Linked DNA regions of Tribolium castaneum. The protein of the gene in region 2 interacts with the protein of the main gene of each other region in a pairwise test. Links are inferred from orthologs where the notes say so. Each region holds a gene or a part of one and is shown on either strand. Other genes may lie near its edges.

What was found.
Region 1: the proteins of ari-2 (region 2) and Ubc10 interact in a two-hybrid assay, tested with the Drosophila melanogaster proteins (2 studies listed by BioGRID). The link is inferred for Tribolium castaneum from reciprocal best matches to the Drosophila melanogaster genes ari-2 and Ubc10.

The regions. Positions count from the first base shown.
Region 1 is NC_087401.1:17,188,655-17,191,488, reverse strand, and holds Ubc10 (ubiquitin-conjugating enzyme E2 L3), read right to left. Parts: upstream 1,338-2,834; 5' UTR 1,223-1,337; coding exon 1,196-1,222; intron 1,147-1,195; coding exon 1,051-1,146; intron 1,007-1,050; coding exon 665-1,006; 3' UTR 511-664; downstream 1-510. Other genes in the region: structure-specific endonuclease subunit slx1, read left to right, coding at 1,399-1,556, 1,601-1,652, 1,704-1,889, 1,939-2,268.
Region 2 is NC_087403.1:8,301,012-8,305,328, reverse strand, and holds the start of ari-2 (potential E3 ubiquitin-protein ligase ariadne-2), read right to left. Parts: upstream 2,833-4,317; 5' UTR 2,682-2,832; intron 2,636-2,681; 5' UTR 2,597-2,635; coding exon 2,339-2,596; intron 2,290-2,338; coding exon 2,041-2,289; intron 1-2,040.

The DNA.
Region 1 (2,834 bases), on a different chromosome or scaffold from region 2:
AATAAATAAACGTGTTTTATTCACACAGTTATTTCCCCCAAACCTCGTCCGGTGTTACATAACCTCACTTTTTGCAATTCCCTTGAAACTATCATAATTGGGTCACAACTCAACAAAATCGCACTTTAATAATTACAAATGAGTAGAGAGGCCCGCATTGGAAAAATAAGCACACCGTTTGGTTGAATTAACCCATTTTTGTGGCCTAACCTCAAAAAACATTTCAAGTGTTTAAAACTGGGCATTTGAATTATAATTGGGCAAAAGATGACTTTGGCGCCGCAATTAATTGATGTGTGCCGATTGTACTTAACTAGAACTAGTTTTGGTGTGTTTGGCCCAACTTTGGGCAACCTAACCTCACAAAAACCAAGCGTTTTATTTAGCAATTGTGGGCGTTTGGTACGATTTGGCGTCCAAATTAGGCCAGAAAGCAACGTAACGATCGTGTTTTTGGGGATTTGTGGTGATTTTGGGGCCGTAACCCCACAAAAAAAATGGGGGCTCAAGTTGGATGAAAGTACTTCTTTATTGATTATGTTACATAAGCGAATTAAATAATCTATCCCACGATTTAGTCCACTCACTTAAAAATAAAATAAAGGGCCCCCTCGAGCGTGGTAGAAAAAAAATTCGTAAAATCACAGTTGGTGTAATCGCCCCACTAGTCCGTCGGTCTCTTTTCGCTGTGTTTCTTCGTGAACTCCTCGGCGTTTTTGGTGAACTTCTTCTTGTCTTTGATGTATTCCTCGGCCAGATCGGCCCTGAGGGGGTGCTCGGGCTCGGGCTCGTTGACCAGCGCCACCAGGGCTTGGATCACTTGATCGGTTTTGGTGGCCGGCTTCCAGTTCTCAGCGCTGATGATCGGGAGGCACACTTGCCCCTTTTCGTCGATGTTCGGGTGGTAGATTTTCGTCTTGAAGGTGATTTTGGGGGGCTTGAAGGGGTACTCGGCCGGAAAGTTGATCTCTATCTTAAACGCGCCCTTGTTGTACGGGGGGTTGTCCTAAAACCGCGCCGTGAGCTGGGGGCGAAGCCTCGCACACTTACCGGAACTATGAGCCCCTGCCATGTCAAAATGTTCGTCTCGTCGACCTGAATGTCCCGGAACGACTTCAGCCCGGAGTTCCGGATGTCCCCCAACTCCTAGCAAAAATACAGAATGAGCCCGGAATCTCGCCCGGAAAATACCCACTTTTTGCAGTCTTCGCGTGGCCGCCATGTCGCGGATTTAGTCCAAAACGACCGGAAACGTAATAATATCAAAAAAAGCACTTGAATTGTTGGGAAAAAGCAATTTTTAATCACCCATTACACACTGAAATTTGACAGGTGAGGTGGGGTGACAGTCAAGTGTGCACGCACACCGCCAAATTCCCTAGGAACTTAACCTCGAAAATGCACTTTTTCGGGGTTTATCTGCTCTATTGCACCAACCCCAAGTACAAGGGGCGCGTCTACATCGGCTACACGGTGGACCCCAACCGCCGCATCAAGCAGCACAACCGCGGGAAGCAACACGGTGGCGCCTGGAAGACCAGTCAAAAGGGGCCCTGGTAGGTACAAAACGCCACACACCGGCCCTGTATAACACTTTCAGGTCGATGGTTTTGATAATTCACGGCTTTCCGAACAATATCTCGGCTCTAAGAGTAAAAATCGGACGTTGATTTGGTTTCAAATCTAGGGTTTTTTTGTTCTAGTTTGAGTGGGCGTGGCAACACCCGCACGTTTCGCGCCGTTTGGCGCACGTTTCGAAAAAAAATACCAAAGAAAAAGTTTACGATTTTACGATTAGGGTTTTAAGCGAAATGTTGCAAGTGGGGCCTTGGAAAAGGCTCCCGCTGACGATTCGCTGGCTCAATGATGAATTCAGACGCGATCTAGAGGTAAAAATTGCCAAAAATTTGTAAAAACTTGTCGTTTTTTTTTTTGTAGAAAAAGCCACCGGACCATATGCCAATTTGTTACGGCCCAGTTATTAGTAAAAAAATCCCAAGTGTTGTCACACTATCGCACGAAACGAATTTTTGTTATTTGTGTAATGATGAGGTTTTTAATGGAATGAAGTGTTTGAATTTTGAGTGCGATTTAAACGCTCATGTTATTTGTTTGTCCAAGTGTTTTCTCAAAGGGGGCGACTACGTGCCGGTGGAGGGGCGGTGCCCCAAGTGTTGCCAACCCTGTCTTTGGGGGGATTTAGTCCGCAGGTTTAAGGGCTACCACAACCAGGACGTGGAAATCACCAACTTAGGGGATTGTGAATAAATTGCTCAATTCTAATTTAAATTATACCGACTTTTACCACGATTACAAAGTTGGCAACACTGGCAAACGTGCCGTTAATGGCCATTTCATTACAACTTATTATTATTATTATTATTACAAATATATATTTTGGTGATTTTTTTTGTTTTTTTTTCCTAGACCCACTTGACAAGACGACATGATTAATTGTTTGTACAAAAAGAAAAATGTTGAATAAATTTGTAATTTTTGCAAAAAATTGTTTTATTTTAATAAATTGTCGGCATTTATTTATGCATTTTGTGGATGAATGTGGTGACAGAGGTCGCAGGCTGGGTCAGAGCACTGACAGACATATTATAAATGGAAGGAAACGCTCGCGTTTGCGTTTCATCACCTCTGAATTATTTTTACTGCTACCATATGTGAATAAGTTGGGAGTTTTTCATTAAAACCGGCGAGAAATTTCCGTTTTTCGTCTTCTTCCGGCAAATAATCAAACGGAGGAAAAAGTTCAAAACGATTTTATTTCACTTTTTGATTAATGAGATTATTTCCACCAAATCGGTCGGGGAGTGTACGGGGAG
Region 2 (4,317 bases):
GCCACAGGGAGGTCTATATGAAATTTTTTTGAAACAATTTAAAAACTTCTACTAAAAAATAATAAATAAGCATTGTACAAATTCATATATTAAATAAGCAATTGAAGAATTTATTTCTAAAATGCAAAAAATACAACTGTTATCACAGCTAAACGAATGGTTAAAAAATCGTTGTCAACATTATTTTTTTTAAGTGCCTGCATAATGTTTTGTTATGATGTGCATTTTCTATAATAAGGAAAATACGAATTTTGAAGATTTCATCAAAATTTAACCTTTGGTTTACAAACTTATAGTTTAAACGAATTATAAGTCAAAAACAAAATATAGAAGCAGCATTGGCCAAAATTATGTTCTCAGAACATGAGTTCCAAAAAGTGGCACTTGTTTTTCTCTAAACCTCTCTTACGCCCGGTATTTCATTCGATGGTTAAACCAAAATATTTTGGTTACCAATTTAATTCCTGGTTTGACGTATTTTAGTGCTTGGTTATGATTTAACCGAGGTTAAAATCTTAACCGAAAGAAATTTGTCTGGCTACCAACTTTTTTCAGGGTTTTTCAGGTCATATTAATGCCCAGTGTCCTTATTTTTTTATCCTAATGTTTTCTCGAAATATCATGCAATTTTGCAACTTCCTGCGACTTATTTTTGCCGGTCATTTGGAACATGAATGCTGTAGATGTTTATTGTACTTTAAGGAATAGTTAGAAAAAATGGTGAAGATATCAAATCAATCCTAAAAGCTCCTATTTTAAACCAATTTCTACTAAAGCGGTTAATTTTTAAGAAAACGAAAAACCAATCGTCTTTTAAGGAACATTTTTTTGAAATGTGAATACGTAATTGGGTTAAGATAATAAACATCAATTACGCACGCGCTGATGCCAAAAAGCTGGGAATTTAACCCAAATTCTATTAAAGCACTGAAATACGCATTCAAAATTAAAAACTTGGCTAAGACTTATTATCGGTTAGTTACCGAAAATTCTAACCAAGCACTGAAATACCCTATTCCGGCATCCAAAATGCATCACCCTGTACATCCTACAAGTGTATTAATTTTTCAGAAAACGGGAAAAACCTCTCGTCTTTGAAAGAACAATTTTTTCGAAATTTAAATACGTGGTTGGGTTACCATAATGTACAGATATTTGATGAAATCAAAAATAAAAAAGTGTTGTTTTTGCACAAAATATGTAAAAGTTTTCTGGAAATTGTACTGCTTATATATATGAAAAACTAAATGCCAAGTTTTTTTATAAAGGTATAATCCGATGAATAGAGAATTCTAAAAAAGCTTCATCTAAAGTATAACAAAGAAAAAAACGAAAAAATTTTTTTTTAAACACATTACTCTATATTTAATATGCTTTCGAAATTAAACATTTTGTTTTACTTAGTAATTAAGGAGTTTGTACGATTAAGCGAGAAAGCAAAATACAAAATACTTTTAAAAATTGCATCAGAAGTGCCATCAATGTTTTTTTTTATTGAAAAATGAAGACCAAATACTGAAAAAGTTTGGAACTAAAGCCATCAATTAATAAAATAAATATTAACAAAAAAGTACTTTTCATATAATCCTCCCTTTAGTCTTGAATTACGGAGATCTAAATACTAGGAGGCGAAACGACATACAAAATAATGTTTCTAAGTACCCAAACATTTAGCACGACGAAGTAAAAATGAAGGGGCTTCGAGCATCAAATTCTTATGTTGAGAAAAAAAATATTATATAAAACGCTGCGACTACAGTATAAGATAGATAGATAGATAGATAAAAAAAGAACATTTAAATGTAGTTTTCGATAAAATGTTTGAACAGGTTTAATACAGAGCGCCATCTAGCGTCGATAGAGAAACTAACGAAAATGTGGACTTTTTTTCCGTCATGTCGCATCCAAGTATTTAGGTCCGTATTTTGTCCACATTCACATATCGGTTCCCGACCAAAGGCTGGAATGGTTTACTCCCCGACCCTAACGGTCGGGAATCGGTGATTGTGTACAAAATACGAAAGGTCCGGTCAGCTCTACCTGATTTATTTGTACTTCAAAATGGGTGACCCAACAGTCCTTACAAAACATGTGAGAACACGACAGGCTGAAAAACTTCTCAGCCGGTTGGACAACGACACACACTGGACACGTGATGTATCTGGAAAGGGAGAGACTCGGGGGCGTGACTGGGGGCTTGATCCTCGAACTGATGAGCAGTTCGGAGGCGTCCTTGCGGAACTTTTCAATGATTTTGTTGACGCGCCACTGGTGGCTGAGCAACAAAACCTTAAATAAGTCCAATGTTAAAGAGTTTAGCGCGCTGGCTGCGGTTTACTTTGGCTAGGGAAGGAGTGATTTTGAGGTTGTAGCTGAGGCATTCAACAGTTTCGTTAAGTAGCCGCTCCACTTGTTCCTCGCCCAGGCAGTCGTACTTGAAGTTCTCCGGGTCGGTTTTGCTTGGATCAATTTGCTCGATCTCGCTGTCGTCGACGATGTTGTAGTAATCATCATCGTCAAAACAGTCATTATCATTATCCGAGCACTCCATGTCCGACTCCGGGGCCTGGGAGCTCAAGTTTATTGCGTTCTCCATTCTGGCGCTGGTTAACGGGCGATCAAGAAGTCGTCATTACTGCAATTTTGGGTGAAGGAGTGTTTTGTACAAATCACCTGTTTACCTGTGTCAGATTACGGCCGCCATTTCTCCAAACAAACACAATCACATTTTATAGCACACTGACACTGACATGCACCTGGTGAATGCAGCGTCCTGTCCTACCGGCTGAGCCCGGCTCTGCGTGGACTCACCCAAAGCTACCGAACTATATTTAAACAAAACAAAAAATCGCAACACTGAGTCTTATAACTACCACAAAAACACAAGATAAGTGAGATAAGGCAACTGCAAGTGTACCGGCGTTGGTGCAAGCCCGGTTCGCCCGACCGGGCCGGTGGTATGGCGCGTGACGTCACAAATGGGCGACATTTCCCCCAACCAGTCATGGTAGCCGCCGAGTAAGCGCCTGGCTCGATTTTCCAAATTTCTACGATTCCAGAACTACTGCGAACTGTCATGTCTGTGTTATGGCGTCAATCTCCCTGAAGACATTGGGAACATTTTGGTGAATATTCGCGTTTTGAGGACGTTATTGTGGTAAAAAACTTTAGAAAATTATGGTGGGCCGACCGAATGTCCGCAGACGAAAAATCAAATTTCGTACTGACGGCTTCAAGATATAATTTTGGTTAATGGTTATTAATCCTTAGGATCATTATATAAACAAAGTAAGTGATACTGATAGCTTTGCGGCGCCTTATCGCGCTGTGATACCCCTGTAAAGGCTTGTTTTCGCCACTGGGACATGCACATGTGGTCGGCTTGATTGATAAAGTTGAAACCACTTGCCTTCTCATGTCACATTTCACCCCTTGCCTCCTTATGTCACGTCTTAACCCCCAACTAGTACGGGCTGGGGGCCCCTTGTCCCTTAGTAACAACGTTCTAATTCTAATTTATTCAATATAACGTTGCTTCCAACTATTCATTCTTTTTATGTTTTAGATAAAAAACGGATGGACTAATAAAAACAAGAAATTTTATCATTTAAGGTAAGTTTACTTCATCTCGGTTTTATGTCCAACAATTAACACCAAAACAAATTAAAAATACAGTAAAACATGTGTTAACATAGGCGTGACGAACTGCACATTTTTGCACATATTTAAATCACTTTGTTTGTTTCGAGAACCACCACTGCACAATTTTTAATTTATTAATAAAGGGTTGAATATTTTTGGGTAATTGAAAGTACTGAAATATAGTGAAATCTCCTATAAGCGGACACTGACGGTGGCATGATTTTTGTCGTGTTAATAGGGGTGCCCTCATAGAAAAATAATGTATATGTTACGGCTAATGTGTACCTAAACTTGACTAGTTTGTAAATTTAGTATTATCTAGAGAATACTTTTGAAAATTTATAAACTAGGCGCTATTTTAGTAAATTGTCATTTCTGCTAAAATAGCCATAGGTTTGGCTAGTTTACAAACTAAAAAAAATATTATTTATTAATTGGTACAATACAATGAACTATTTCTTGGAAAAAAATATTTTTTGTTCAAAATTTACTACGTCTTGCTCATCAATACTCGCAGATTCGTCAAAAATTTACTTAAAGTTTATTTATATTGTGACAAATTTAAAACGTTTTGTCACTCTAAAAATTTGATTTGGCAATATTGTCGCCAACTCTTTAGTTTTCATCCCGACAATTGATCGGAAAAATTTTTAGAATATTTTTATTAAGCGGTTT